Arabidopsis thaliana: one gene and its partners. The protein of the gene in region 1 interacts with the protein of each later gene in a pairwise test. Each region holds a gene or a part of one and is shown in the gene's direction. Other genes may lie near its edges.

Region 1 (7,328 bases):
TGAGGCTCAGGATTATTATACCAAATATATCATTGCTACATGTTCGCTAACCATCTGTAAGAGATTCTACTTAGTTGACAACCGACATAAATGGACTTTCTCTTACTAGTTTGGATACTCGATGATGAAAATGAACGATGTTCTAGCATCCTAGCGAGATGTAGATTTTGGGGATATAAATTTGTTACCAATATTAGAAGACTTAAGATGATTGCTTTGAAAATGAAAATATAAAATATAAATATGTAAACTAAAGTGGTAGCCCATGATCTATAGATTTTGGGTGGAATGCATCCATGTCTCTAAAAAGCACATATTAAACGAAGAATTTAAGAGATTTTAGATACATCTATTTAATACATAAACAAACCCACATATTCTAACATGAAATTTGAAGAGACTTTAGAATCAAATAACTCAAAAATGACCATTTCCTGTTTAATAAAAAAAAAAAAAAAACCTCTCTCCATTGAAGACTCTCTTGTCTCCAGTCTCCACCACTGACCAAAACCAAAAGCTCATTCTCCAAAACTTCCATCTACAACAAGTGTTCGAAATTTATACCATTGTTGAGTGAAATAATTGGGCGACTTCACTATCTTCCTTCCTTTTCTTTATGTACTCTGTAAACCCTAATATCCTAAATACATGTTCCTCAATTCCTCAATTTGCTGTTCGCCACTTCGTATTTTTCAAATCTATCTTCGATTTACTTCTTATTAAAGAAAAAAAAGCTCAGCGACTTCTGCTGGAGTTTCATTTTTTAGAGACTTACGTTGATAGATGGCTTGTTTTAATTTACCAGTTTCCCTCACACATTTTCTAAGCTTCCCGGATTTGATAGTCGAACATATTCCCTTCCTTTTAGCTTCAATCCTAGTTCAGATATTTTCCTCAAAATCGTAAAATAACCACTAAAAATATTTCAAATTCAAGTACCTCATATTGATGGATAAAAAATATCCAAGAAAAACAAAGTACAGGTAGAAGGCAAAATAAAAAAATATGGGTAAGAAGGGCCCAAAAAAACATTTCTGAGAAAAAAAGTTCATAAAATTTATTTTCCTATACTCATAACATATAAAAAAATTTATAAAGGTTTCTATATAAAAAAATAACTGTACAATTTACATTGCTAGGGACTTATTTTAAAAATTAGCCCTAAGGCCTATAAAATGTTTAAACCGACACGAATTATAGGTGTTCAACTCGTATCACCGTGTACTTTTAGACTCTGCCCAATTCACCATGAACTATATCATAAACCTCATAATTCCACCTAAACTATTAAATTCATCACAATTAGACAACTTCAATTAATTGAGTCAATTGCGATTTAAAATCCTTAAACGGTTATGCGATTATACTAACATGAGTTTAATAGATTGACCGATTTAAAAGCCTATTTAAATACTAGGGTATAAATATCTGTAAAAAATAGCTCTCCTGGGGAAAATTTTTTTTTCCAATAAACTCAAAGTACCCAAAACAGAAATCACTCGTCCCTTAAACTTACTAGGGTAGAAACTAGTGTAGATTTGTATAAATTAACAATACTAACTAAAATCTAAACTATAAACTTTAAATTATAAACTCCAAACTCTAAAAACTAAACACTAAATCCAAGAACTAAAATCTAAAACCCCAAATTCTACTCAACCCTAAATTGTTAAGCTTGAAACCGTTATAATTATATAGTTTCCTTTATTTTGTCATGATTCAACTTATTTTTTTTTTCATTTCAAATATCTTTTAAAACCGTCGTATTTATATTGTTACACATTTCAAATTACTAAAATGATAAAATACTATTTTTATGTGATAACAAAAAAAAAAACTATATTTTCTATGGTTTTGTATATAAACAGTTGGGTGCATGAATGCATATATTGCATTTGCGCCCACTGTAAATTAGAACAACCCTTGACTACTAGCTAGAGACGTCAAAAGAAAATTGAAAACGACAAATCTTTTCACAATCTTCAATCGTACGGGAAACCAACTCAGGTCACATTAAAGCCTCTTTTCTCTTTTGACAAAAACCCTAAATAAAGGGATAATGTTTATGTTACGTTGTTATATGTACACTACACATTTATTCCATATCTATAGTTTCGTTAACCGGTCAAAACTAATTCACCCACCAAAAAAAATCTAAATTTCCATTTCCATGGCATGTAGGAAAAACTAGAAACCACTGGACAAAAGAATAGAAGTTTTTTTTTATATCCAAAACGAAAGCAAAGCAGATCTTGTCTGAGATCCGACAAAAAATAAAAACAGTGAAATACTATACATTCAAGAACATCGATCGCCTTCAATACTGACTCTTAAAAGCGTGATGTTTATCATTGAAATGGAAACAAATCCTTCATATGTCGTCTTCTATTGTTGAATTATTATTTTTGGACTATATGGGCCATGTTAATTAGATGTTGCTTTTGTGGAGCACTCATACGAAAGGTACGTTACCTACTTGTATATGTATACGTAGTAAAAGTAAAATGTTAAGAAGATACTAAAAATAGTTGAGTTTGAGGTTAATCCCCAATATATAAGTTCATAACCAGATATTAGATCTGGAATTGAAAACCCTAGAAAAAAGTTGTAAACCCTAGTGAAAAATTAACCTGTAACTGAGTGAGAGAGGAGAAGAACAGATCTGCTTTTTTGCGAGCAGATCTTCAATTACATACACAAAATCATGTCTTCATCACTGTACACTTAACCATTTTCTTGTTACACATCTCTTACACCATTAATATCTCTATAGTTTTTTTCTTTTCTTTCTTTTTTTGCTGGTGTGAGAAATTGTACGCTTACTATCTCTCTCTCTCTCTGCCAGATTCTCTCTTTTTGATGATGTGAAAGTTGTGCTTTTGTTTCTTAAGAAAAAGGCATATTTTTAATACTTGATTCTTGGTTCTTGATTCTTGATTCTTGGTTTTTTTTAGCTTCTTAAGTTCGGTGATGTCGTCTTCCACCAATGACTACAACGATGGTAATAACAATGGAGTGTACCCTCTCTCTCTTTACCTTTCTTCACTCTCTGGCCATCAAGACATCATTCATAATCCCTACAACCATCAGTTAAAAGCATCTCCGGGCCATATGGTATCAGCAGTTCCTGAATCTCTGATCGATTACATGGCGTTTAAGTCAAATAATGTTGTGAATCAACAAGGCTTTGAGTTTCCTGAGGTGTCAAAGGAAATCAAGAAGGTGGTGAAGAAGGACCGACATAGCAAGATTCAAACGGCACAAGGGATTAGAGACAGGAGGGTTAGGCTTTCTATTGGGATTGCTCGCCAATTCTTTGATCTTCAGGATATGTTGGGGTTTGATAAAGCTAGTAAAACGTTAGACTGGCTGCTCAAGAAGTCAAGAAAAGCCATCAAAGAGGTCGTACAAGCAAAAAACCTCAACAATGATGATGAAGATTTTGGAAACATTGGAGGCGATGTAGAACAAGAAGAGGAGAAGGAGGAGGATGACAATGGCGATAAGAGCTTCGTGTATGGTTTGAGCCCCGGGTACGGTGAAGAAGAAGTGGTATGTGAGGCCACGAAGGCAGGGATAAGAAAGAAGAAGAGTGAGTTGAGAAACATCTCATCAAAGGGGCTAGGAGCCAAAGCTAGAGGAAAAGCAAAGGAGCGAACAAAAGAGATGATGGCCTATGATAATCCAGAGACTGCCTCTGATATTACACAATCTGAAATCATGGACCCATTCAAGAGGTCTATAGTCTTCAATGAAGGAGAAGATATGACACACCTTTTCTACAAGGAACCAATCGAGGAGTTTGATAATCAAGAATCTATCTTAACCAATATGACTCTACCAACGAAGATGGGTCAAAGTTACAATCAAAATAATGGGATACTTATGTTGGTAGATCAGAGTTCTAGCAGCAACTATAATACATTTCTGCCTCAAAATTTGGATTATAGTTATGATCAAAACCCTTTTCATGACCAAACCTTATATGTAGTCACCGACAAAAATTTCCCCAAAGGTAAAGTTTGGATTCAAGACTCTTTTGTAAACTAAATTATTGTTCATATATATGTTTGCATTCTATGATATGTTTTCTTTCTCTTGATTGTTTCTGGCAGGTTTCCTATAAATCTCGACAGTTTTGAAGGACTATGCATGATCAAGTTTAAACATGTAAGCCAATATAGTCCCTTATTCCTCTGAATGTATACAAAATCTATAGTTATGTATATCTGTTCCTTTTTAACGTATCTTTATTGATCTTCTGTGCCTTGATCAAAATTGTCATTTTAAGATTCAGTTTGTGTAATATTTTAGCTACAACTTTTAAGTGGTATTATTGTAACCTTTTGAACTATATATTTTGAAGATGAATAAGAACATGTTTATATATTTGGTCATCCCATTACAATCCAAGATTCATACTTCGATTAGGCACTACACATAAGAGCTAGTCTTTAAGATTAAGCCATTTTTGTTTAAGTTAGAGCTCCATATATTAGAATTTGTTCTTCAAACCCTAAATTCAATTAAGACCCACAAAACCAAATATGTATGATGATGAATATTGAGGGTCGTAGTGAAACTGAAGTAGTTACATTGCAAATTGAAGGTGACACTGAGAATTAGTGTGTGGAATGTGGAGGCGTGCCTGCCGTGGTGTCTATTTGATTCATAGTTTGTGATTTGGCCATCCAGGTATGAGGAGAATATATCCTACTTTCATATTATTGTCTATATAGAAGATATATACACATTTATATATTGGTGTATTTATTCTCTTACTCGGAGGATGTTTTGCAATGATGCTTTTTGAAGCAAATATGAGTTGTTTGTTTATGGGGTTTGAAGTTTGGCGTTTTGGAAACAATGATTGTTAACTTAACATATTCGAGTAAGATTTGTTTAAGGCTTTTAGGTTAAACTCTGACTAGAGATGTGAAAAAAAAAAATCCAAAAGAAAACTCAATGTTTTGAAATGATAACATTCACTTAGTAGTAAATAAGTACATGGATCAATTCAGTCACTACCAATTTGTTTGAATTATTATAAATCCTCAAAACTGAATATGCTATCATAGTTCAAACTCCAAACACACGTTGACATGAACCTAAATCAATATTGTTGTTCCTAGCTGACCCCAAATAGATCCATATATACAAGAGATTAGCCAATCAATTCTGCTTATGAAACTTGATATTCACCAATTTGAGATTCTAGAATTTAGTCGTTTTAATTTAATTTACAATTTAGTCGGAAATCCTATCAAAACGTAAAACTTTTTAAGAAACTGAATGTTAGGAGTTAATGAAAACGTGTAAAAGAATGATACAAGATTTGACTGATTCTATTTGTTAATAATTTTTAAATTTACAGTATATGCCTAAATTTATTTGGTTTAACTAACTAATTTTAGGATAATTAGTCAAATTAGATGATCATATATGGTTAAAGCTAGTCTAATTTAATTAGACTAAGTACGTAATAAGGTTGTTCTTAAACCGAAAAAAAAAAAAAAGTAAGAAGGTTGAACATTCACGTTGGAGCAGTCAAGATAAAGATGAACAATAAGAATTTCTTTTTAACCTTGGAAGGAATCTAATCTCAATATATAGGGACTTAAGATTCCACTAAGTTTGAACCACACACATCGAAGATTGTAAGATTCTGTTTTGAAGAATGAGAAGTTGGCATTACAAGTATAGTCGGTACAAGTTTTAGAAAGCTTATCCAAATGTAGTTTCTTTTTGAAGCTGTTTGTGCATGTGACAATTTTTTCGCTGTACATTCCTAATCTCATAAAATGAGAAAATAATCAAAGAAATAATATATTATGAAAATAAAAATTTGTTTTAACATGTTTGAAAAATATAACAAAACTATTTTAAATCATACTTTAGTTGAAAATAATTGATTGTTAAATTACGAAAAATTTTATAAACATGATTGAAAAACTCATAAAATGATAGTTTTTATCAACAAACTGGTGGGATATGGTGTGAATCAGAAAGTGTCACTCGCTTGTCAAAAATGTGTATCATGAATGTATACGAAGCACATATATATGTAAGGCAACACTTCATCATGTGAAATAAAAGCTCTCAAAATACCACCATTCGGAAATTAATCATGTAGACACACTTACAAATGTATTTTGAATAAGCTCACTGCAACATATTAAGCTTACTTTTTTTTTTTTCGCCCAACATATTAAGCTTACTAAAAGTTACTGAATGTTGAAGAACTGTCACTGCCAGAAGAAAGCATACTAAAGTTTGCAATGCTCGATAGGTGATTGAGAAATATAGTCTGATATGAAGATGTAATTTAACTTTTGCTTCTTATTATTATTTTTTCATTTCATTTTTGTTGTTTATTCTTTCTTTTTCATCTCACTGACCTTAATATCTAGACTTGCCTACACTTGCTTAGGTCGCTGGATTAGTATCTACACTTGTCTAGGTCGTTGGATTAGTTAAGTCCCTATGAATAATCTACAATATATAATTCGTAAATGCCTGGAAACTGATTTACCTTCGAGATTTTGTTGCAAAGTGAAGTAAAATTTATTATATAAAATTTCATTTGTCAGATCCTATGAAATAAACTCGCCGAAATAGCTAATTTTAATATTCACATTACATCTTTTCAACATGCCTTTGTAAGAGTACCTTTGTTTATTTTATTAATCTGACCTTGAGTGGACCCTTCTTCACTGCGTCCAATCTTCAAGGGTGTCTTTGCTTACCATAAATTTACTGATTTACAAAATTAGGTATTGAATATAAACATAAAGAAAAGATTTACCTAAAGGTAAAAGGAAAAACGAATACTTTGAAAATAATTTACAGATTTCAGTTTTAAAATCTGTAAATTCACATCACAGTCATTGTCTTACGTCATTTTTTGTAGTATGAAAATAATTCATAATTATTAATATGTAAAATAACTAATAATGAAATTATAACCAACCAAAAAGCAAATGAATTGCTTATGTATGAAAGAAGATAGTTGAAAAAATGACCAACCAAAAAATTGCTTCTTTATGAAACAAGACATTGTTGAAAAAAAAGTTTTGAACAAAAAAATTCTTAAGAAAATTTAGACAAACAAATCCATCTTTGTAGGCCCAAATACAAAATTAATGGGCCTTAGATTTGGGATTATTTATGTGAGCCCATTATTAAACTTCGTCTCTTACTTTTTTTTTTTCTTTTTTTCTTACTTTGCTTGTCCCGAAAGTCGCAGAGCGAGCTACAAGAAGAAGCGAAACACACCCAGAAGAAGAAGAAGAACAACAACGAAGTAAACAATGGAGTCTGAGAAAAAG
Region 2 (10,331 bases), on another chromosome or scaffold:
TAGTCGGCGTCGTCGGCGTTGACGGCATCTTTAAAATCTTCTTACTCGGTGAAAGGATCTGAGAAGAAGAAGAAAGAAGAATCGCTGACCAGAGTAATGACAGAGAGGTTTGAAGATGAGAAAATGAAAACGTGGTTTTTAAGGCGATTCTTAGGAGCGGAATTAACGGTGTCGGATTAGACGGTAAATAGACACGTGGTGAGTGTTTGACTGGGTAGATGATAGCGGAGTTATAAACGGTCGTTACGTATAGAGAAGGAGCGTTTTGACCAAACGTGGAAAGTGTAAAACGCCGAGTAGAAAATTCAAAAGAAGCGCCGTGTCTGCTGTTTGTGGGATCCATTTGGGACCTATTTGATCTCCGTTTTTTCTGGGAAAGACACTAAACGACATCGTTTCGACCTGTGAATCATGCCAGAAACAAAAGTGTGCTAACTGCAAAATAATTATATCACTTTTTAACTATTTTTTCTTCTTTTTTTAAAATGAATTTCATTAAACAATTTGTGATATACTACTGTATTTTATAATGTCGACCAATGAGGTGGAGGATGGAGTATTTAGAAAATTAGAATTGTTACACGTTGATGGCTCAATATGTTTATTTGTCAACCGATGGCTACATAAATTATAGGTGAATTTGATAAAAATACATTACATAAACCAACTAGTATCTTTGTGTATTTGTTTTTTTGGTGAATAGTACCTTTGTGTATTAACAACTAAATTTATAACTCAATATAAGGGATGTAATGCTTTCTTAATAAATTGACCATATTATCAAAAGTTAAAAACAAACGAAAAGAAAAGTTCCTCAACTATTTTTCTTCTCTTTTTGTTTGCAAGTTGCAACCAATGAAAATAGATAGACAAATCGTAATGATGGCAACTGATTACCATCTTAAAGACTAGAAACACAAATACAATTGATTGACATAGAAATAAACCACGGTTTGCATCTTTATTATGATCAGACAAGCATTAAATTTTATTGACTGCATTGATAAGTCAATAACTTCAATTGTTTTGCCCGCCTTGAAGGCTAAGATTATGCAAGGAGGAAAAAGACAGATAAACAAAATGTTGCACAAGTGAAAATCAAAAAGCTTTTGAAAACAATGATCTAAAATTAGTCTGAAACGAACAATGGCAGCTCCGAATCTATACCAGAACTGAAAAAATGCCAGCTTGAATCATGGAATGCTGCAAAATAATCATCTGATTCCGTCTCAATAGCAAACTCGCTTGTGACTCTTTGTGCAGCTATGATTCGTTTGGTAGCACAGATGACTTCTGCGTCAAATGAAACTTGCTCCTCATACATCTGAAAGCTGTTCCCAAACAATGCGATTTTCGACAGTCGATCCATTCTCCAATTTGCTTGCAATAGGTTGCTGTATAGATTGGCCTCACAGTGTGGCATGAAGAAAAGAGTAGGCTTTAAAGCTTCCCTACGAGCTTGCTCATTCACAGATAGAACACTGCATCCCAAAGATTCTAGGTAACTAGATTCAGTTGCAGAGAGAACTGGGTCAAACACTTCAATGTTATCACCAACCCAATCAAACTCTCTCTTCATCAAGATTGCAATGCTCAGCTGAAACCTCGGAGATTCATAAGACTCAATGCTACCTATACCGTACATCACCATCTGCAACTGTGTTTCAGACCCTAACACGAGGCGAATCTGATTCGAAACCTCAGGAGACTTAAGCTGCTCCAAGAATGCTGTGTAAAAACTCGAGCTTTCGATTTTCTTCAGAGAGATTTCCATCTTCTGCTTTAGTCTTGCTTGTCTCTGTGGATCAATTTCAAGATCATCTGATTTCCATGGTTGCTCTTCTTCTTCTGCTTGACCTTTAGGTTTCGGTTTTCTTCTTCTTCCTTGTCTTCCTTTACTAGGTAAGACTACTTTCCACTCACCATCACTGCTTGAGTTTTTAACAGTCGTTTCCATTGAAGCTTCCACAAGAAACTGGTTTTCCTGATCTACTTACTCCACAGTCCCCCAAAATTAGGGTTTCTACTCAATGCAATGATTCCATTGGTTCCGATTACCTAACATCACAATAAATTTCGATTCCTAAACCTAATTATCAATCTCTTTGCTTAACTCTGATCTATCTACTTTGAGATTGACAAAAATCTTCGATACCGAGCAAAATTAAACTTACGATTAGAGACGAAAACACAGGAGGAAGATCGAAGAAGCTTGCTTGAAATACAGAGGAAGCAAAGAACGCTTCGAATATGTGGTGACCGAGTGGACTCAGTGAGACATTTGTGAGTTTGGTGCGCCGAGTCGCGCGGCGATAAAGTGAATCAGATGATTTGTACGCGAAGATTTGGTAAACAGGTATTGGGCTAGAGGAAATGGAATGGGTCTAGATACGGCCCAATAAAGGCGCGAGATAGAGACAACTGAAGTCTTGTTTCCTGTTATTTCTTTTGATTTTGTTTTACTAATCTAAATATACTAAATCAGCAGTCAATTTTCCAATAACTGATGCATTCAGTGATTGACACATCAGCTTAGTACTACTTTTTTATTTTTTCATTTTTACGCATAGTATGTGTCGTTTTTATTTAACTTTGTTTCATTCTCAAACGATTTTCTCTTTCATCCCCACGATCTCCACATCTCCACTTTCTCTCTTCCAAAAACTCCATGACTACTGTGTAAAATCTCAAAGATGGGTTTCTCAACATCATTAATCGATTACTCAGAAATCAGGTACTTTGTTCATCTCAATGAACCAATTTACCATCTTCTATTTTTGTTTGTAATTTTGTTTTATATATATAGAATTCTCCATAGATCCGAAAATCATATATCCTTCTTCTAGATTTCTATGGCTTTTTTTTTTTTTTGCTTTGTTTCTGCTTTATTTGACTGAATTCGATTTCTCTCATACATCTCCATTTTTCCATAGGATTATTCTTTAATACAATCAATGCCTATGATTCTCCCGTCTCACAAACACTCAAAGAACAACGACAAATTTTGGCTTCTCATCTGAACAGTTGCCTTAAAACAAGGGTGAGTTTAATATCTTAATCGAAGCTCAAGTGTTTTTTTAATGGTAAATTAATTCTCATACTTTTTACTATTCTTCTTTCATCTCTTATTTTACTTCTTTATATTTGCAATTTCTTTTTTGTATTAAACCGCAATTGTATTTTCACGCAAGATTTTTGTATTAATACAAATACTTCAATTTTAAAGTCATCTCTTATTTTACTTCTTTATATCTGCAATATCTTTGATATTGTTTCAAAGGCAGCGTCTGCGTTATGTAGTTACTTACTTGTGCACATTTTACATTTTTTTTTAGACTTCCAAGCTTTGGGTGTCAACGAATGTTTGTAAACTGAATTACTGATGATGAGAAGAAGAACACATTACAATTGGTTGGAGCTAATGATGAAATAAGCGGACATGTATATACCCAGCATAATTTTCGTACTTATACTCTCTTATATTTCTAAACTCTTGATTTGTTAGTTACTGTCTATCGCAATTGATTCATTGGGTAGAAAAGTTGTACCTTCTTTATATCTTTTTCTTAATCTTTGTATATTCTTCAGTCAATGATAATAAATTTGTTGTATATTTATGCTGTCTGCTTTATTTTAAAAATCTTAGTTAAGAGTTGTAGCAGATATAATTTAAAACAATGTTGTCCCTGCATAGTAGGGGCCAAATGCTAGTAGTAGTTTAAAAGTAAAGTACGTAAAATAAAATAACGTGTATTTTTCATTATAGGAAATGTAGTTTAGGCCGTTATTGTTCTTTTTCATTATAAAATAACGTGTATTTTATGTGTTGCTGTTTAACCCTAAACTCAGACAGCGAATGTTGAGTTCCGATGCAGTGGTGTATGGTTTGCGGATACAGTAAAACTTTTATAAATTAATAATATTAGAATTGCGAAATTTTGTTAATTTAAACAAATATTAATTTATAGAGAAATTTTTTAAATTTAATAATTGTTTTAAAAATTGAACTCTTTTCGTAGCCCAAACCCACCGGTATTGAACTCTTTTTGGCCCACTTAGCCACGTTAAAGGGTCACTTGTTACTAGTTGTAATTGCAACTATCTGCCTAAACCGTCGTGCCTTTTGTCTACATTCTAGAACCATGCACTAATGACGTGGCTGGAGATAAGTTGGTTGATTACACACGTGTCACTTAGACAGAGCGAGTAGACTTTGATGCGGGTAAAAGATATTTTAGATTATCTAGCTCGCTAGGCCACGTTGGCGGATATTTGCACTTTTTCTTTTTTTAAAAAGAAAAAAAACTAGGCTCTACGAATTTTCCGGTCACCTTCTCCGATCTCTGATCCGATATTTTTCCACATGTTGTTGAGCTTTAAAGGATTTGAAACCGTTATGAAAGTTATGAAAACGAAGAGTGTGTGAAACATGGGGAAGGAAGTTATGGTGAGCGATTACGGTGACGACGACGGAGAAGACGCCGGCGGCGGCGATGAATATAGGATTCCGGAATGGGAAATTGGTTTACCCAACGGAGATGATTTGACTCCGTTATCTCAATATCTAGTCCCGTCGATTCTCGCGTTAGCTTTCAGCATGATCCCAGAACGAAGCCGTACAATTCACGACGTCAATCGCGCGTCGCAAATCACGCTCTCTTCGTTGAGAAGCAGTACCAATGCTTCGTCTGTGATGGAGGAGGTCGTGGATCGAGTTGAATCGAGTGTTCCAGGATCAGATCCGAAGAAACAGAAGAAATCGGATGGTGGTGAAGCAGCGGCGGTGGAGGATTCCACGGCGGAGGAAGGAGACTCCGGGCCTGAAGACGCGTCTGGGAAGACATCGAAACGACCGCGTTTAGTGTGGACACCGCAGCTACACAAGAGATTTGTGGACGTTGTGGCTCATCTAGGGATTAAAAACGCAGTGCCGAAGACGATTATGCAGCTGATGAACGTGGAAGGACTTACTCGTGAGAACGTTGCGTCTCATTTGCAGAAATATAGGCTTTACCTTAAACGGATTCAAGGATTGACGACGGAAGAAGATCCTTATTCGTCGTCGGATCAGCTCTTCTCTTCAACGCCGGTTCCTCCACAGAGCTTTCAAGACGGCGGAGGAAGTAACGGAAAGTTGGGGGTTCCGGTTCCGGTTCCGTCGATGGTGCCTATTCCAGGCTATGGGAATCAAATGGGTATGCAAGGATATTATCAACAGTATAGTAACCATGGCAATGAATCAAACCAATATATGATGCAGCAGAATAAGTTTGGAACAATGGTGACATATCCTTCTGTTGGTGGTGGTGACGTGAATGACAAGTAAATGGATCTTAAAGGTCTATAATTTGCTCTACAGAGAGATACTGGTGAGCTTGTTTTCGTCTTCTTCTTTGAGATTCTTATTCTTTGATGTTTGTTCATGTTACTAGCAAAGTGTTACAATTTTCTTGGTAGAGTGTTATGGTCAAATCCTAGTTTGGTGTTGTTATATATTTACTCTGTCTTTGCAAGTAGTTGATCTTAATTGATTCTTGTTACAGGTTCTTGGCTTATGGTTTATTTTCCCACTTCATGAGGTTGTTGTGACTTTTAATTCTCCATGTTTTCCACACAAGTCTTTATTGCCTTTGTATAGAAAATGATTTCGAGAAAATCACTGGGAAGCTTGGTATTGTTGGAGGATGAAGCCTTCTATGAATGATTTAGTTTCCTACTGTCTCCATTCTTTATGAGGTAATAAAGCCTTCTTTTGCTCATCGCTTGTAGTCTTCTTAAATTCAAGACAGCGTCACATGTTTGTTCGGTTATGTTAATTGTTTCTTTCTTTGGATAATGAAGATAGCATCAGGTCTCATGTCTCCTCACTTTGATAAATATCTCTTTCATTTATCATTTTCTTCTATTAAAATAGTTTTTCTCTTTCTTAAGAAAAGTATCTTTTGATTGTGTTGGATGGTCATACACCAATTAACTCCCAACCACAAGGAAGAAAGTGACATTTCAACCATAAGCTCGTGTTTCTTTGCCCACAATGAGTTAGTAGTTTTAGCCTTTTAGCCATATAGTTTTCATTTGGTAAATAATCTGTTAAGATCTTTAAATCTGCAAACTAGATGAGAATCCATAGAATATTTCTGTGACCAATGTAGAGTCGCCATTAGAAGATCACTTTTCACCTCTCTGTTTTGTTTCATTCAAAAGATGTTTCTCTAACGTTATCTTCATATTACTTCTTTGTGGGTCACTCGTGTCTCCTCTACCCTTCCTAAACTTACAACAACTGACTCAAACTGTCCTTGAAATTTCCAATGCGCCAGTCTTTTCATGGGACTTAGTTGAGCTGTTTAGTTTGGTGACAGTGAAATATTATTAAAGTAACCTAAATGAAAGTTTCAAGTGGTTGAAACGTGGCCTCAGCAACTGTAATGGAGAAGCCCAAGCTCTTTATCTCTTATCATGTGAACAATGATTTTGTCTATAAATGCAGAAACTCTTTTATTTTTAGATACAACTGCCAAAACATTACTCTAAAAATAGAAACCATCTCCTTTTATGCCATTTGATTCATGATGATTATAAAGAATCTCTTCTGATACAGTTTTGACTTCAAAACAGGGACTACATGAAATTCATCATTTTTAAGGAATTGACAAAGTTGTCTAATGAGCTGAATGAGGAACCTCTACTCTTGACAGAGGCTTGAAGCTTCTCTTTCAAGTTGATAACTCTCTTCCTCATTTCTGCTCCTTCTTCATCCATAATCAATCTCTCTACAGCTCTCTCCACTGTTCCTTTATCCAGCTCTCCTTCCAATTGAACCCCAATTCTCCAAACTCTCTCTAAGTACCTCGCATTGACTTTCTGATCTCCCGTAAAAGGCCTACAGATCATCGGAACTCCTTCCCCGATGCTCTCTAGGGTCGAGTTCCATCCGCAGTGACTCCAAAACCCTCCCACTGCAGGATGTCTGAGAACTTCTATCTGTGGTGCCCATTTCACAATGTAACCTCTTTCTGAAACCAACCTACTGAATTCCTCCGGTAAAGACTCTGTCCATTCCGAGCCGGGAATAGAACCCGGTCGGATCACCCATAAGAAAGGTTGGTTGCTATTACGTAAACCCCAAGCCATCTCCAACATGTCTTTAGTTTCCATTAGAGCCAAGCTTCCCAAACTTATGTAAATCACTGAGCCTATTTTTTGCTTGTTCAACCACTCAAGGCAACTCCTGTCCTCTTCAAGTAAACTAGAAGGCGCTGAAGCTGCAATGTGAAGTGGGCCTATAGGATACACTGGAACTTGCAGTTGTTTTTGTAACCATGCCAAAGATGAGCTCTCTAGACAGCTTGTTGAGTTGATGATAACTGCCGAAGCTGTTCGAATGTTGACAGTCTCACTGTAAACCTTGAGTATACTCTCTAATGGCCCAAATGCTGAAGTTGGCAGGTCCTTGTACCTTAGCGGATGCAACCCTGGAAATTCCTTGTCTGACACTTTGGGATCTGCAAAGCAAACAACAGCATTTGGATTGGTTTATATACCTAAATGCACTTTTAAAGTTTGAGTTAACAAGCTAAAAAATCTTGAGTACCTTTCATGTCAAGCAAGAATGACTCTGCGTTGACTCTAGACAAAACAGAGCGACAGACAAAGGCAGTAGCACTTGTCGTGCTGAAGAGGACGCTAGGAAGTTGAAACTCTTTAACTGCAGCTTGGGAGAAGTACATGTACTCATCGTAGACGACACAAGCGATATCATTACCTTGCTCCTGCAATAGTTGACCAATACATTGCTTGAAGCTTGCCTCGCAAATTTGATTGAGCTTGAAGAGAAACTTGAATGGTCCAAGGTTTTTGAGATCAGACTCGGTCAAGCTGCCTGGGATGGTGAGGAAATGAAAATCAGAGAAGTCCTTGGATGAGCTAACTCGATTATACTGTGTGAGAACAACAGTGATGGAGAAGCCCTTGGAGTAAAGAGCCTTCCCGAGTTGCATAATCGGAGTTACATGACCTTGTGCTGGAACTGGAACCAATACTATCCTTCTCTTCACTCCTAGTTCTTCCATTGTTTTTCTCTCTTGGAGTCTTGGTCTCTCTCTTTTTTTGGTCAATGTGTGAATGGAAAAATCTCAAAGACACATAAGGATGCTTAAATGCTTGAACCAGATCTAATTAATATGAAATATAGCACGTGGGATATATATTAACTGTTTCATTGGTCTCATCGACATGTTATTTATTTTTATCCCTAAGTGGAAAATTATGAGGTTAGGGAAAGATCTCAACATTGTGGAAGGAAGGACATACCACAAGAAAAAGCACGTGGAGTATATAAACTAGACAAAGAATTCCCAAAGTTACAAGGAAGTGACAAATTTGGTGACTAGCACCATTTAAGGCTTCCTTTTGTCATTTTCTTTATTAAGTTTGTTGTCTTGTTTTGGACCATTTTTCTAATTAAGTCTACCTCTATCATTTATTTACTTATTTTCCCTCTTGCTTAAGGTTAACATATAATTTCATGTCTGAACATAACAACTAGCACACTCGTTTAAATTATGTCGACGTACGTACACCTTAGAATTTCATTTCTGAACATGACATCTAACCACTGTAGCTGCCGCGTTGCCGTAATTCGGATTCATAACTTTGTAGTGTGGATGTATAGACGCGGCAAAAGACAAAGGATTTTGTATTTTTGTAGTTTACTTGACCAACATGTTATTTATCTAACTTCCTTCAAACCGTTGTTTTCTTATCAAACAAGATCATTACTTTTGATAGTAACAAAACCGTGATCTTCTAGTCCACCGAGTAGCCGTGGATCTCCTGCCCTGCTTCATATTCACAAGTGAGGTACAAGCAGGCAAAATGCTAGTAATCGTTGTTGAATTTGGATATAATATTCATGAGCCAACATCTGTTTAAAAGCATCAAGAGCTTTCTCATTCTGAAAATTATGTACAAGGACTTAAATAGTATAATTCTAAGACACAACCTCTGGCTTGTGACCATCAAAACGAGTTCGATTAAAGTAACTCAAAAGTAGTTGAGTTGGCGACAAAGTGAAATTAATTGGAGTAACTTAAAAGGGTTCAAGTAAAAATAGTTGATTTGGTATGGTGTCAAAGTGAAAATAATTTGCAGTAACTTTAAGAGTTCAAGTAAAAAATAGTTGAGCTGTTTGGTATAGTGACAAAGTGAAAATAATTGATGTAACTTCGAGGGTTTAAGTGATTGAATTTGGTCTAAGAAACTGTAATGGAGAAGCACAACATCTTTTATCTCTTATCCTGTTTGAGAGTAACTTAAAATAATGCTTCTGTATCCAAATGCAGAAACTCCTTTTTTTTTTTTTTGACAACAACGTAAAAATTCTTATTATAGAGACAACTTCCAAATATTACACTTAAAATAGAATTCATGTCCTGTATATCATCTTGATGCACTTTCGACTTTGACTAGGGACCTTATTTTTTTCTTTTTTTGCTAAGAGACTAGGGACTATCTTATCTCCCTTCATCATCTTCACATGGAATTAACAAAGTCGTCTAGTGAGCTGCATGAGGAACCTCCACTTCTAACAGAGGTTTCAATCTTTTCTTTCAAGTCAATGGCTCTCTTCCTCATTTCTGCTCCTTCTTCATCCACAAGCAACCACTCTACAGCTCTCTCCACAGTTTCTTTATCCAGATCTCCCTCCAATTGAACCCCAATTCTCCAAACTCTCTCTAAGTACCTCGCATTGACTTTCTGATCCCCGGTGAAAGGCCTACATATCATCGGAACTCCTTCCCCGATGCTCTCTACTGTTGAGTTCCATCCACAGTGACTCCAAAACCCTCCTACTGCAGGATGTCTGAGAACTTCCATCTGCGGAGCCCATTTCACAATGTAACCTCTTTCTGAAACCAACCTATTGAATTCCTCTGGTAAGGACTCTGTCCATTCTGACCCCGGAATAGAGCCCGGTCTGACCACCCATAAGAAAGGTTGGTTGCTATTACTTAATCCCCAAGCCATCTCCAACATGTCTTTGGTGTCCATTAGAGCCAAGCTTCCCAAGCTTATGTAAATAACTGAATTTGATTTTTGCTTGTTCAACCACTCAACGCAACTCCTGTCTTCTTCTAGTAAACTAGAAGGCGCTGAAGCTGTAATATGAAGTGGGCCTATAGGATACACCGGAACTTGCAGTTGTTGTTGCAACCTTGCCAAAGATGAGCTCTCTAAACAGCTTGCTGAGTTGATGATAACAGCGGAAGCTGTTCGAGTGTTCACAGTCTCACTGTAAACCTTGAGCGTACTCTCTATTGGCCCAAATA
Region 3 (7,871 bases), on another chromosome or scaffold:
CCTTCAGCTTGCTTACTCCTATCTGTTGTCTGATTGACTCCACGATTTTTGATTCAACCGGGTTTCCAGTCACGTCTGTAACGTAGAACGTGTCTTTAGCCTTACCCTCTCGCGTTGATATCTCTGCTCTCACAATGGTTAAGCTGTTCTCTCGGAATGTTCTGGTTATGTCTGAGAGAAGACCAACTCGGTCTTCTGCTGATAATTCCAGCTCTAAACCCTGAAAGTATGTTTCATATGCACAATCTGTCTTGAGTATATCAGAAATCGATGCAGAACAGAATGTAATTTGAGCCAAGACAGAGAATTTTCACATTCCTAATTGGTTACCTCCGATGCTCTCCTCTCAATGGCTGCTTCCAGACATTGTATGACACGTTCTTGCTCTGCTTCTGAGTTTATGGGAAGTCCATCCACATGACGGATGTAAAATTCCTGCAGCAAAACACTCATATTATTGTTAGAAGAGAGATCCCAACAGACGGCCGTTGAGTAGTTACCTGATAAGCCTCCACTGGTTCTGTGCTGACCATGCCATGGAACACCACATACTGCATATCAGTCAAAGTACAGACTACGTCAAACACAAGCTTTGGTCTATCTTTGGACCTCATGGTAACAACGGTATAATCCTTCTCAATGTTCATTAGTGTGACACTGGGCCTTGACGCCGATGTCCTTGCTCTTTTGACTCCCTCGTAGTCCCTATCATCAAACATGATCTGATGCAACCGTCTCTCCCTGTGTGTATCAGAACAAGAGAAGACTGTTTTCGCAGCTCTTGAGCCGCTGTTTGTCCTCACTACATTGCACAGCAGCTCCTTGATGGTGGAAAGGCGAATCGGGTCAGTAATGGCAGAATGAGTTGAATTGTCCGTGACATGAATAACCGCTGCAGCTCTGGTGTTGTGAGTCCATATCTCAGCGTTCACAACGTTGCAGTGAAGGTCTGTGAGAACAGCAGATACTTCAGACAAGAGACCGGGTCTGTCAGTTCCAGCGAGCTCAATGGATGTGTATTCGTCAGTGGGCATTACACCAACTGAGCTTCTCAAAGGTGGAATGAACCACCCAGCGTTGCTCTCTATCCTCTGCGCAATGAATTCAACAAACGTTTTACACAAAGAAAAAAACCTGTTGAAAATGAAAGAAAAAAAGTGATGAAATACATTAGAAACCTTTTGGATATAGTCAAGGACTTGAGTGTCTCTGATCTTATTGCCATCTTGGTCGATGACTTTGAAAACGTCCATGAACCAACCTCCATCGGAAGAGATGTAAGCTTTCTTGATCACAAGATTCATATCAGTGAGCACTTGTACTACTTCCAATAGAGTCCCATGTTTGTTCACACTATCAACCTTTTATTTAGCACCACAAACAAACAGGGAACTCTGTTTTCTCAAAATCTCTTTGTTTGGTACAGAACCACTTGAACAATTTGAAGAGACAGATTTATTTACCTGAATAACAGTGGCATCGTCGCTTGCGTTGTTGTCTATTACAACTCTGTATCCACCATGAAACATACATAAATAAAGATGAATGTTTTAGCAGCTGGAATCTTTACAAGGGTATAGAGGCTCACAAACGGAGCATGGAGAAACAGAGGACCTAGAAAACAATAAAAGAGTATGGAGAGAAAGAGAAAAACCTGGGAGGATTCATTCTCCTGATGAGCTTGGCATATTCATCATCATCCATGGTTGTAGTATGTATCTCCTTGGTGATTTGGCTGCAGCAGAAACCCAGAAGAGTGTGAGTCCTCCAATTTCTGAGGAAAATTCCTAAAAGAGAGAGGGAGAGGGAAGTTGAAGGAGGATAAAAATGGTAGGCCACCGGAACCGAACCTTGTTTTCATTAGTTGATCGAGCACGTGCCACTAAAGATTCTTAGAGATGACGTGGCACGGGCACAGCAACTTTTAGATTCTGTTATAATTGTTCGAATACTACCAAAAGTCGGGTGAAGATTTGGGGTCAATTTGATGATCATAAAGGGGATTATATTCTCCTTCTCAAGCAAGATGTGGTATTTACTAGTATAATAGATCATTCGTTATCTTGAGGTAGACCTCTCCGTAACGTTCACAGGTGCATGACCAAGTAACAATTTGATTCCTTTCCAGCATAACGTCATGTTGGTTGCAAAAAGAAGGCAAAGTAGAGCAAGCAAGCAAGCAAAGCATTTTTCTTATTTTATATTTTGTTGCGGATTCCACCACCCACTTGAAAAATTGACATGTCACAATGATTTCGTATCCTAGTCTTTTATTATTTAACACTCTCACAATCCCATTACTCTACACCTCTTTCATTAAGTCAACACACGGTTTTCAAAAATCCACTACCCTCCCACCACCTAGAATCTTTTGTTACCTACCAACACCCTCCTTTGTTCTCTTTATATATTGGTCCAACTAAATCAATAAGGGAAAGCATCCTTTTGGTTGGAGGAATTGCTTTCATTCTCACTCTTTGTGTGTTGATCAATGGACTAGCTAATAACAAGTTCCTCCTCTATATATTTCAAAAGAATGGAACAGAAACATAAACGAAAGACAGAGTACCTGATGTTGATGATTCATTGTCTGTCTGGAGCTCCCAAATGCCTTTTATGCTTACATATTCATAACCAACAACGGCTATTAATTATAAACCAAAAACACGAAATAAGTTTGTAGCAAAGTGAAATTAGGAATCTTGGAGATGGATCCATTAGTAGTAGGATAATAGGATATGATGGAATTTGGTTGGGGAACAGTGATAACTTACGCTTGCTTCCGGCGCCGGGAAAGTTGGAAAACCTACAAAGTACAGAAATGGATCTGGGCCTTGAAGTGGGCTTTTTATTAAAGAAAAAAATACATCTCCGTTATCAATCACCATCTTCTTCTATCTACAAATTAAAGAAGGTAACAACAGAACGTGGTGGATCATGTGGTTAGGCATTAATTATTTGCTTTGTTTCGCCGTTTTGGTAACACACAGACACAGTTCCGGTAAGAGCTTTTGCAGCCACTCTTTATAGTTATTTAGAATTGGCGATCGAATCAATCTCACTCCCTCCCTCCCTTAAGTCTTGTTGAATCTGCTGAATTGTTTTATAAAGAGTTACTTTGGCAAAATGGAAAATCCGGCGAAGAGAGTGTTGATGACATCCAACGGCGACGAGGTGTCCCGAAACATCGCTTTCCATCTAGCCAAACACGGTTGCAAGTGAGTCTCTCATTTTGTCTTCTTTCCTCCTATCCTGTGTTTCTTCTTCTAGCCCCGATTTGTGTTGTGGTTGACTTTGGTGTCTATAGTTAACCTTCAAAAAATGCAATGTACTGTTGCTAGGTTGGTAATGATGGGAAATGAGGGTTCCCTAAGGAGCATTGTAGACAAGATTAGAGATTCCATTGAGGGAGCCTTCCCTGCCGATGTTATAGCACTCGACATGGAATCTGACTCTGAAGTTGCTTTTCATGCCGCTGTCCAAAAGGCATGGGAACTTTCCGGCCATTTCGATGCTTTTCTCAACTCTTATACCTACCAAGGTTTAATTTGCTTCTTGTTTTTCACTACCCTGCCTTTGATGCTCTTGTGTGTTGATCATTCCTTTATTCAACAATCTTTCTTTCTTGCAGGAAAGGTGCAGGACATTCTTCAAGTCTCTCAAGATGAGTTCCACAGAATCACAAAGATCAATCTCACCGCTCCATGGTTTCTCTTGAAGGCTGTAGCCACAAGGATGAAGGACCATGGATCAGGAGGCTCCATTGTCTTCATGGCCACTATCGCCAGCGGAGAGAGGGCGCTTTACCCTGGCGCTGATGCCTACGCTTCAACTTCTGCCGCTATTCACCAGCTCGTCCGGGTATGCATCCTAGCTCCTAATTAGACACATCGCGTTCGTAACTTGAATATGTTTGTTGATGATTGGGTTTCAGGCATCAGCCATGAGTCTCGGGAAGCACAAGATACGGGTCAACATGATCTCTAGAGGGCTGCATCTGGATGATGAGTATACAGCTTCTGTGGGAAGAGACCGAGCGCAGAAGCTGGTCAAGGACGCTGCACCCCTCGGCCAGTGGCTCAACCCGGACACAGACCTCTACTCCACTGTTATCTACTTGATCAGCGATGGCTCACGCTTCATGACAGGCACCACTGTCTTGGTGGATGGAGCGCAGTCCCTTACGCGACCCCGTCTCAAATCCTACATGTGATCAATGCCTAGTATTATTATAATTCTATGTTGTGTGTAAAAAGTGAATATGAATCAAGTTTGAATAACTATGGAGGGATGAATAATCCATGGAATCAATGATTATATACTTTTGACAAGTATAGAAGAAAGCAAAGAGCCAAAATAGTCAACAATCTCAACATCATTCGAGCTCATTGTTTATTGAATTCAATCAAGTTTGGTAGGTGAACCTCAAATACACGTGATATTGGATATTATCTTGGAAACCTTGCTAATCCAAATTGTAAATCAAATAAGAAAAGAATGATTACCTCAGAGATCTAGATGCATATTGATTCTTGACCAAGAAATATGTTTGAAATTTGAATCCATTGAACCAAAATTTGAAGGAGTTGCATATATAATAATATAAATCAGAATGATGTAGCCGCCACACCTTTTTGTTTCCACAAAACTCTTTTTCTGTGATGGATCCGCTAATGTAGCCATATTTTCAATATATATCACTTTCTCTGGCATCTTCGCTACCGTGTACGTCTCTCTTTCTCTCCCTCCCCTCCTTGGCTTTTTTCAAGTTCCCACCATAAACGCAGAGGGAGTTAAGAAATGGAGGATAGGAGGTGTGATGTGTTGTTTCCATGTTCATCATCGGTTGATCCTCGCTTGACAGAGTTTCATGGGGTCGACAACTCTGCTCAGCCGACAACATCATCCGAAGAGAAGCCAAGGAGTAAGAAGAAGAAGAAAGAGAGAGAAGCGAGGTACGCGTTCCAGACAAGAAGCCAGGTTGATATACTGGATGATGGATACAGGTGGAGGAAGTACGGCCAAAAAGCAGTCAAGAACAATCCATTCCCCAGGTACGTACTTAATCATCAATGAATGATACTGTATGCTTGCTATGGTGATCAAATAAGAGACTCATATACATACATGTAAAATATGAATATATATATATATAGGAGCTATTATAAGTGCACAGAAGAAGGATGCAGAGTGAAGAAGCAAGTGCAGAGGCAATGGGGAGACGAAGGAGTGGTGGTGACGACATACCAAGGTGTTCATACACATGCCGTTGATAAACCCTCTGATAATTTCCACCACATCTTGACACAAATGCACATCTTCCCTCCCTTTTGCTTGAAGGAATGATTAGAGGAATTGGATTGTAATATTTACTTTCCCAAAAACGTTGGGCTCACACCATCAGACCTTTACTTTTAAACTAGCAGCAACTCACATATCTCAAAAATACTAATCCTTATCTTTGTCTTTATGGGACCTTTGAATCCATCTGCTTTGGTGTCTTAGTCTCGGCTGCCCTGTAATCGAAAGTATATTCATCATCAAATTACCAAACATAAAGAAGCAATGATGAGTCTATCATCTACAAAAACAATGTTATGTATCCCAAACCTACCGATTATTCCAAAACTAGTGACAAGCTAAGGATATTGTGGAGATGAAGATGAGAAAGAGTACGAAAGCTAACTTTGAGGTTTCTTCTTGGATCCAATTGCGAATATGCTTCACGTTTCGCTTTAGAACGGAGGACGCTTTCTTTGTTAGGCCCATTAGCCTGGGCTCTCGTGTTTTTCATAATGTCAAGTCAGCCCAACAAGCCCAAATCTTTACAAAAAGAACCAAGGACCATGTCATCCGGAATATGGTGATATTATTGGATTATACCATTGGACCATTTAACACAAAAGCAAATATGCAACAGAATATATATAGATCACATAACAGTCAGAATCTTCTCAAAAGATATGCTTTCTTCCTTTTCTATTCTAGAGTGTTTTGATGACATCGGCACGAAGATAATGTTATTTTACAGATTTAGCTAATTAAGTCTTTCGTAATAATTATCAAACTCAAATTGTTGCGTTTTAATTTACCGCCGCCACAATACCGCACGAAGATAATGTTATTCGCTTGTGAATTTCTTTATATTAATCTCTCACGAATAAATTAATTCACATTCTTACATAAATCGAAACTTATCCACATTTTCTTGATTCTTTTCAAAAGTTATACGAAAAAGTTAGTTACACAAAATTTATTAAACACGGATAAAATAACGGTTCCTTAATCTCAACACTTTCACTTTTTTCCGAACCCATTGAATGGAAAAATGTTATGTTCTTTTTTTATATAGCAATTGGGAAAATATGTTTTGCAATGAGAAATTGTAGAGTTTGCGGCTTTGCGCCATCCATTATTTCATATAGAACTTAGAGAATAATATATCTATTAATTGAACTACAAGATATATCTTATAAATTTTCTCCGAGATATTTCTCATAAATCGTCCGTATCATCTGTCTACCGCGGAAGATAGATAATTAAGGAGCGTAAATATAGTGCGTAAGGATTGAACCCTGTACTGTATAATTACACATATATCATATATTTTAAATTGTAAAATGAGATGTGTCGTCGTGGCTGTTTGAGCCTGAAAGTTGAGATCTCGTCATCAACATGTTATGCTTCTGAGTGATATTATTGCAAGACGAAGGACCACGCGTCTTTGATATCTCTATCTCCCTGCATGTATTCGTCACAACATAACGAAACCCTCCCATATATATCTACGCAACAACACACTATGTTTGAATGCATGAAACACCAGCTACAGGTAGATCTCGATCGGGAAAGAAAAAAAGAGTTGTAATATCATGGAGATGAACAGAAGGAGATCAAGAGGGTTCATGATAGCTAAGCTAATGCCCTTTTGCAAAGCTGTGAAATCTCCAACTCCTTCCCAAGACCTTTATAATAATGTTCATTACACTTCTTCCACTACGACTTCCTACGCTCGTCAACCTGATTTCAACAACTACGTAACTGCCACTACGCCTCTCCCTCCTAAAGTTAGCTTCCTCCTTCAACCATGTACGTAATTAACCTTTCTTTTAAATCTAGTTTAGCTAATTATAGCTATCTATCTTTCATATATACATGTCTATAATTAGTGACTGGCAGCCTTGGCTCCTGAGGGTAAGGATATGGAAAAGAAGCTGAACATGATGGCAGAGAAGCTGATCGGCAGAGGTATTAACGGAGTGGACGACTGCGTTGACGCTAGAGCCGCTTCTTATATCTCTTCGGTTCGAGAGAGGTTTAAGGCGGACCAATATTGTGAGAAACTGACGACTGTTATTAGCTTAGATGATGAAAATTGACTTTTAGGATTTAAGTGGAGTTACGTACGTTGACCTAGTTATATTATACGTAAGTCATAAGTTCTGTTCTACGTTGCTTCAAGATAAGATATTAGTGGGAATTAAAGCTTTTATTTGGGGTCTGTAATAAGTAGGCGAGATAAGTTACTCTTACTCTTTGAAATCTCAAAACCAAAATAAAAAGTGGGAACTTAATTATGACAATATACATGGTTCATAAAAATGATTATTCTTGATAAATGAACCAACCATAAAAGAAGGAACTAACAGTATTCCACAAGAAAATCAGAAATCAAGAAATGAAGAAAAGGAGCCATGACGTGAAGGGGAAGGTAGGGTTAATTAGGCGGCGTAGATGTGGATGTGAAGGGCGATGAGGGAGATGGTGATGAAGGCGAAGAAGAGGAGAGTGTGGATGACAATGGAGGGGCCGCTTGTCTGAAACCCACCGAACTCAACCGCTTTGCTCTTTCCGGGCAGCTGAAACAAAAC
Region 4 (7,482 bases), on another chromosome or scaffold:
TTATAAATGAAATGTACATGGAATAAAATAAAGAATTGTCACCATAATGTTTTTTCCTAACTATAAATTAAATGTAGTAGGGATAAAATCCAATAATTGGGGATGAATTATTGAGATAGGTTACTACTTTAGATAGGGAGGGTCTCTCACCTCACCTTATAATAAAAAAAGTGGTCGTTGATTATTTTCTTTTTTGTTTCCTCTCCGACACGTTTGACCCAACGGCCCATTTTCAGCTTCTGGTCTCCTTCGTATATTCTTTAGGTATACAAATTTTAAAAGTCAAAATTACCCTCACTTATTCTTCTTCTAAATAAATTCCTATACTAATTAGATGTTTTTAACTACAAGAAAAATTCAAAGAAACATATGGTGGTTTTAATGTACCAATCACATTAAAATAATGGGTTTGATTGGTAACAATTTTAAAAAACTGTACAAAATTTTCTAAAACATACAGTTTTAATATTTACCGATCACAAAAACTTTATTAAAAACGTTACAAACAGTTTTATTCTCAATTTATTTTACTAATTTTTCGTACAGCTAAAGTTTACAGCTCCAACTAACAGCTAAAACACTTTTAGTTACCAATAATCCTAATAAATAAGTTCTTTATGCATTATTTTCTATGACCCTTATCTCTTTTGGTTTGTTGTGTTGGGAAGAAAATATAAAAGTTTGAATGGTCAAATCTCAAAAAGAGGACAAAAACTAAAACCAATGTAACTTTACTAACTTCGACGAGTCCCATTATTTTTTCTTTTTCACTTTCAAAGAAATTATCCATTTGCCTATCAATGATTTAATTTTTTTTCCCCACCCTACCAAAAAAAAAAAATGATTTAATTTTTTTTCTTTTACAATATAGTAATAATAAAATTGTCTTCACGAGAAGCCAGCTATATAGAGAGAGATGATTATAGACGAATCACAAAATAATATAAAGTAAAAATATTTCATAATTCGTCTCTCACCGGAAAAATAAATAAAGTTAGAGAGAGAGATTCATAATCATCAAACCCACAAATCCTTTTTTTTTTTTTTGTTAAAACCCACAAATCCTTACTCGTACGGATCTCTCTCTCTTTAATATCCTAATTCTTCTCTTCATCGATCTGAGATTTTTACGTTTTCATCGGTACGTCTTAAAGATCTCTCTCTTTCTTCATCCCTTCTTCTGGGTTTTAGCTTCAGATCTGCTTCACCATGAATTTTAATTTAACCCATCATTTTAAAATCGACAGATTCTCTCTTCTCTACCAAACTCTAATTTGGTTTTAATGTTTGGGTCTTTTAAATTTTGCAACTTTTTTTGGGCTTATCATTATTTTTTTTGTTCCCGTTAAAAAAAAACTTTCCTTTTCGTAATTTTAGTGTTCTAAATTGTTTTTTACTTATTTGAAGTGTTCAATTGTTAAGCTTGAAAGAATTGTGTTTTGTTCCTTTATTGAAATTGAATTTGTGTGTTTTGTTATTAGTAAAGCAACAAACTTTACTCATTGGATTTTAATCTCTGTTGTTATTTGTTGCAGGCTTGAAAGTTTGAAGAGTTTTGTAGCCTGAAAAATGGCGTCAGTGGGTATAGCTCCTAATCCTGGAGCAAGAGACTCTACTGGTGTTGATAAATTGCCTGAAGAAATGAATGACATGAAAATTCGTGACGATAAAGTATGTTTCCATGCGTTGTAGTATAGTTTTTGGTATGTATTTCATGAGAATCTAAATAATGGATTGTGGTTTGTTAGGAAATGGAAGCGACAGTGGTAGATGGAAATGGAACAGAGACTGGACATATCATTGTGACTACTATTGGTGGTAGAAATGGCCAACCAAAACAGGTTTTTGATTCTTCTTCTTTGCAAAAAACTGTTCTTTTAATCTTCTTAAGTTAGTTGATTGGTTAGTGTTTCGTGTTTTTATTAATTTTTCTACAATGTCAATGCAGACAATTAGCTACATGGCTGAGCGTGTTGTTGGTCACGGATCTTTTGGTGTTGTGTTCCAAGTGAGTTTTTGTTAGCTTATCATCTCTCACGTTTTACATCATGTATCTATCAATTGACTGAATTGGATTCCTCTGTATTTTCTTATGTGATTTAGGCGAAATGTCTTGAGACAGGAGAAACTGTTGCGATAAAGAAAGTTTTACAAGATAGGAGGTACAAGAACCGTGAGCTTCAAACCATGAGGCTACTTGACCATCCTAATGTTGTGTCTCTGAAACATTGTTTCTTCTCAACCACTGAAAAAGATGAGCTTTACCTCAATCTTGTTCTTGAGTACGTTCCAGAAACTGTTCATCGTGTTATCAAACACTACAACAAACTGAATCAGAGAATGCCTCTTATATACGTCAAACTTTACACTTATCAGGTATCAATTATTACATTTCTGTTAGATTTAGAGTTATGTTTTGGATCTCTTATCGGATTTCTCTATGTTTGGCAGATTTTTAGAGCCTTATCTTACATTCACCGATGCATTGGTGTGTGTCATCGTGACATAAAACCTCAAAACTTGTTGGTATGTACAAGTTAAATAAACAGGAGCTCACAGTATACCCGGGAATATACTTTTCTTCATTGTCTAATGCTACTTTTTTCACCTGTAATGGAACAGGTAAATCCGCACACTCATCAAGTAAAGCTATGTGATTTTGGAAGTGCAAAAGTATTGGTGAGTTTGATAAACCTCTTCCGGGTACTTTGTTTCTTGGAAAAAGTTAGATTCAATCTTGTTGATCATTGTAATATCTGAAAACAGGTAAAAGGAGAACCAAACATTTCCTACATCTGCTCGAGGTATTACAGAGCACCTGAACTTATTTTTGGAGCAACCGAGTATACGACAGCCATTGATGTCTGGTCTGCAGGATGTGTTCTAGCTGAACTATTGCTTGGACAGGTAATGCATTAAATCTTATTCAAACATTTTTGTTCTACTTAACCTGGAATTTTGTGATTGACAAACTCTATTCTCTGCTCATGACAGCCCTTGTTCCCTGGTGAGAGCGGTGTTGATCAACTTGTAGAGATTATCAAGGTATAAGCTTTGCACTTGTTCACTTTGATAACAAGTTCTTGTTTTCAATAATACTGAGAGAAGATTTGATGTAATGTTTTTTGTTATGCTTTGGGGTAGGTCTTGGGAACGCCTACTAGAGAAGAAATCAAGTGCATGAACCCAAACTACACGGAATTCAAATTCCCTCAGATTAAAGCTCATCCATGGCACAAGGTAGAAATAAACTTATATTCATCAAATCAACTTGTCAATGTGTTATTCAGTAGCAGTTACAGTCAATGTGACAATATCTACTCGTCATAATATATTCACAGATTTTCCACAAACGCATGCCTCCAGAAGCTGTTGATTTGGTCTCAAGACTTCTTCAATACTCTCCTAATCTACGAAGTGCCGCTGTGAGTATTACTTACAAATTCAACATTCTTCTGTGAATCTTCTCGATGGTCCTTTCATTTCCTATTTTTCTTTTGTCTGACTTGCTTTTACTTGAATCGTAAACCTGATCACAGCTCGACACATTAGTCCACCCATTCTTTGATGAGTTAAGAGACCCAAACGCACGTCTACCTAATGGACGTTTCCTTCCACCGCTTTTCAACTTCAAGCCTCACGGTACAACATCTCCCTTTCCTAATGGTGTTTATCTCCAACTTACCTGTAAAATCATCAAAGTTTTACCTTACTAAAGCTATACCTGTAATTGTTGTGAAACAGAGCTGAAAGGTGTACCATTGGAGATGGTAGCTAAGTTAGTACCTGAGCATGCAAGGAAGCAGTGTCCTTGGCTCGGTTTGTGATTTCCTCTTAATGTAGCATGAACACAACAAACACTTCTTATAAATTACCTCTCTATGTATCAATATGTCACAAACTGATATGCACCCTTTGTTTGTTGTATGAGTAGAGAAAAAAAGAGTTATTACTATGGTTGGTTGGTTCATAATGTAAAAGCCCACCAAGATTTTTTATCTAGATAAAGAGTTTGCTACTTCTGCTTTTGTATCTTCTTCTTCCTCTGCAACATCATCAAACAAAGACCCTAAAAGTCACTGTAGCAAATACAAGTATCCTCACGCGCCTAAAACTAATAAAAGCCAAAACTTTTTGATTCTACGAGTCGTCGTCGTCATCGCCGGAAGATGCCGTCGGGGAAATATTACTGTGATTATTGCGAGAAAGAGTTTCAAGACACTCAAGTCGCTAGAAAACGCCATCTTCAAAGCAAACCTCATCTTCGAGCTAAAGCCCTTTGGTACAGTTCTTCTTCCTCAGGTATCTCTCTTCTCTCTTTTTTCTCTCTGTTTCTTAAAGGAACGATTTTTAACATCTCTGTTTCTTTTAATACGAAATTCTTAGATCTTGTTAATCCACAAGTCTCCAATTTTGCGACGAAAGGTCTCTGCAATCGATTCATTACCTCGGTACGTCGGATTGATTTTGTTTCGCTATGTTCATCATTCCTAGCAATCTCTGGATGTGTAAAGTCTTGTCCTTTTCGTTTATATTCTGGTGGAATCACACATTTTACATTGCTTTGTTTGATTCTGCAAAAAAATTCATTGCATATGTGTGTATGTATGTAATCTTCCAAGTAAAGTCTGTTCCTTTCTTAATGGGTTTTGCAGAATTTTTGCCCATTTGGAGATTCTTGCAGATACTTCCATCCTAACAACAATACAGGAAGCACAGGTTAGGTCAAAACCTGTTGATTTTTGACTTCAGTGATTTGGTCTCTTTTAGGCTACTTAAAGCTTTAAAGAAGTCTCTACTATGCGCAAGATTTGCTTAAAACATCATCCTCTTGTTGAATTCAAATGCAGGATTCACAAATAATACACAACTTCGTGTTGACATGCTTAACCAACAACACATCCAAGGAAGTACTTTAAACCGTATGCGTTCTTGTTTTTTCGTCATTCAAGTTCTCTAATATTTAAGCATTTATAGAAAATCTGATGTTGGAAGTTTGAATTGTCTAAAACAGGTGATTTTGTTAGTGGGAGACCAGGAACAGGTTGGTTTGATCTTCCGCCATCGCTAAAACCGCCTCCTGAGCAAGGCTATCCTCAGCTTCCCTTCATAGACTGGGGATAGATATAAATTCTCTGAATAATGCTCAGTTTCAACATTGATGATTCTACTTGAAAGGAAAAGACTAATCTTTGTCTCGTTGTGCTCTGCCATTACCAAGCTTTTAGCCACAAGCTTGTCTCTTTTCAGACTCGAGGTTGGAAGAATGTCAACCAAATTGTCGTCTTGTTACTCAATTTGTCGTCAACTTTAGAGACATTGTTCGGAGTTTGGACATGGCAAATTTGCAATTTAACATACTGTGCGATATTCTGATAAAATTCTTTAAATTTCGTTGGCTCGTCCCTATTCATTGCGTGATGATAGGATATCGCTAATTCGCTATCCGCTTCCTGGCCATGTGCTAAACAAGACTTCCCAAGCCAAACTATCAAAATATTTGACAAAGTTGGAGCAATTCCTAAGGCTGTAGATTAATTACAAAGTTGGAACAATTTTTTCCCTAGAAAATACATTATTGAGAAACAGAGTATAAGTTGGCTAAAAGAAAAATCAGATTGTTCAGAATCAAATATTTAAATTATTAACTTCATTTTCATTTCTTCAACTCCATAAAATAGAACTAATTTTAAACTCTTTATTGTTGAGAGAAATATCTTCGAATCTCCTAAGAGTAATTTAGTCGAGCATGTTGGTTTGAGTTTATAAAAGATAGGTTATGATTTATTAGTTAATATTTCAAATTTATATATTGGTTTTTAGGTTTATAATGGAGGGTTTTAGTTTATTTTTTATTTTAATTATGAACAAAGTAAATAGTTTGAGTTTATAAAGAAGAGTTTGATTAGCGTATTATAATTACTTATATGTCGGTTTAGGTTTAAGATTTTATAATTAAAGATTATATTTCTGTTAGGGTTTTAGGGTTTCAGGGTTATAATTAAAGGTTATATCTTATATTTCAGTTAGGATTTTATAATTAAAGGGATAGTTAAGGTTTTAGATCTTGTAATTAAATGTTATATTTCTGTTTAGATTTATAAAAAAGATTAGGATTTAGATTTTACGATTAAACGAGATTATAAGTCAATTTGAGTTTATAAAAGAATGCTTAGGGTTTGGATTTTACAACTAAATTCAATTAAATGTGGTTAAATAATTGTTTACGTTTTTATAAAAGAGTGATTATGGATTAGATTCTATAATTAAAAGAATTTAATTCTTGGGAGATTTGCAAAACTACCCTTTTGCAACAATACCCTTATATGTGGTTCTTTTTTAAAAATACCTTTTCCCTTGAACAGAATGACCAAATTACCCTCATCTAATAGTAACATGTAATTGGAAACTGAAATTTTCCCGCCATATTTTTTTTTTCCCGCCAAAAAAAACAATACCGCCAAACTTTTTTCCCGCAAAAAAATAAATTCCCTCCAAAAAAAAATTTCTCGCGAAATTTGTTTTCCGTAATATTTTTTTTATCAGCCAAAAATTAAAAATCCTTGTAAATTTTTTTTGCGGGAAATAGATTTACAAGAGATTTTTAAAAGATTTTAAAAGATTTACAAGGGATTTTAAAAGGATTTAAAAAAATTTACAAAGGATTTTAAAAGATTTACAAAGGATTTTAAAAGGTTTTAAAAAGATTTACAACAGTTTTTAAAGGGTCTTCTTGTAAATTCTTTAAAAATCTTTTAAAAACATTTGTACATTTTTCAAAACCCTTTAAAAATCTCTTGTAAATATTTTAAAACTCTTTTAAAATCCCTTGTAACTCTTTTAAAACACTTTTTAACCCTTTAAAAAGCTTATGTAAATCTTTTAAAGCTCTTTAAAATCCATTGTATATATTTTAAAACCCTTTTAAAATTTCTTGTAAATCTCTTAAAACTCTTTTAAAATTCCATAAAATATTTTTAAACCCTTTAAAAATCTTTAAAAAACCTTTGTAAATCTTTTAAAGTCCTTTAAAATCCTTTGTAAGTATTTCAAAACCCTTTTAAAATCCCTTGTAAATCTTTTAAAACCCTTTTAAAATCCCTTGTAAATCTTTTAAAACCCTTTTAAAATCCTTTGTAAATCTATTTCCCGCCAAAAATGTTTTTTTTTGCGGCAAAAATATTTTTGAAAAAAACATTTTGGCGGGAATTTTTTTTTGAAAATTTTGGCGGGAAATTTATTATAGACAATTTTAAGCGAAAATATTAATATTTCATTTTGTTAACGTAAAACAATTTCCAAATAGGGATAAAATGGTAATTAAAAATTTAGAGAGGGTAGAAATGAAAATTGTTTTAAAAAAGGGTAGAGTTGAAAAGGGTCATCATAAAAAAGGCATTAAAAAGGATTTATTATTATGGGGAGACCTACAAAACTACCATTTTTTTACTAACTTTTTGCAACAATACTCTTTTCTGTTCT

The links.
Region 2: the proteins of TCP1 (region 1) and BOA interact in a two-hybrid assay, tested with the Arabidopsis thaliana proteins (one large-scale study listed by BioGRID).
Region 3: the proteins of TCP1 (region 1) and WRKY45 interact in a two-hybrid assay, tested with the Arabidopsis thaliana proteins (one large-scale study listed by BioGRID).
Region 4: the proteins of TCP1 (region 1) and AT5G26749 interact in a two-hybrid assay, tested with the Arabidopsis thaliana proteins (one large-scale study listed by BioGRID).

What each region holds. Positions count from the first base shown.
Region 1 is NC_003070.9:25,164,950-25,172,277, reverse strand, and holds TCP1 (TCP family transcription factor), read left to right. Parts: upstream 1-2,970; coding exon 2,971-4,050; downstream 4,051-7,328. Other genes in the region: AT1G67250 (Proteasome maturation factor UMP1), read left to right, coding at 7,311-7,328.
Region 2 is NC_003076.8:23,999,618-24,009,948, forward strand, and holds BOA (Homeodomain-like superfamily protein), read left to right. Parts: upstream 1-4,270; 5' UTR 4,271-4,429; coding exon 4,430-5,326; 3' UTR 5,327-5,369; intron 5,370-5,543; 3' UTR 5,544-5,736; exon of another isoform or gene 5,737-6,618; 3' UTR 6,619-6,621; coding exon of another isoform or gene 6,622-7,505; 3' UTR 7,506-7,594; coding exon of another isoform or gene 7,595-8,072; 3' UTR 8,073-8,227; downstream 8,228-10,331. Other genes in the region: RDUF2 (zinc finger (C3HC4-type RING finger) family protein), read right to left, coding at 1-343; SRR1 (sensitivity to red light reduced protein (SRR1)), read right to left, coding at 1,130-1,957; UGT76E1 (UDP-glucosyl transferase 76E1), read right to left, coding at 6,622-7,505, 7,595-8,072; UGT76E2 (UDP-glucosyl transferase 76E2), read right to left, coding at 9,535-10,331. UniProt on the Arabidopsis thaliana protein: Transcription factor that is a critical component of the regulatory circuit of the circadian clock. Binds to specific sites on CCA1 promoter leading to CCA1 activation.
Region 3 is NC_003074.8:324,089-331,959, reverse strand, and holds WRKY45 (WRKY DNA-binding protein 45), read left to right. Parts: upstream 1-4,547; 5' UTR 4,548-4,800; coding exon 4,801-5,054; intron 5,055-5,156; coding exon 5,157-5,346; 3' UTR 5,347-6,008; downstream 6,009-7,871. Other genes in the region: ACR6 (ACT domain repeat 6), read right to left, coding at 1-220, 331-435, 501-1,091, 1,179-1,361, 1,464-1,509, 1,655-1,735, 1,851-1,861; AT3G01980 (NAD(P)-binding Rossmann-fold superfamily protein), read left to right, coding at 3,127-3,218, 3,342-3,861, 3,935-4,213; AT3G01961 (uncharacterized protein), read right to left, coding at 6,609-6,779; AT3G01960 (uncharacterized protein), read left to right, coding at 6,873-7,089, 7,180-7,379; AT3G01950 (peroxidase (DUF 3339)), read right to left, coding at 7,722-7,871. UniProt on the Arabidopsis thaliana protein: Transcription factor. Interacts specifically with the W box (5'-(T)TGAC[CT]-3'), a frequently occurring elicitor-responsive cis-acting element.
Region 4 is NC_003076.8:9,395,927-9,403,408, reverse strand, and holds AT5G26749 (C2H2 and C2HC zinc fingers superfamily protein), read left to right. Parts: upstream 1-4,141; 5' UTR 4,142-4,169; coding exon 4,170-4,302; intron 4,303-4,386; coding exon 4,387-4,508; intron 4,509-4,655; coding exon 4,656-4,719; intron 4,720-4,850; coding exon 4,851-4,922; intron 4,923-5,014; coding exon 5,015-5,124; 3' UTR 5,125-5,394; downstream 5,395-7,482. Other genes in the region: SK 11 (shaggy-related kinase 11), read left to right, coding at 1,570-1,671, 1,749-1,841, 1,949-2,008, 2,104-2,376, 2,452-2,526, 2,623-2,679, 2,767-2,907, 2,995-3,045 and 4 more.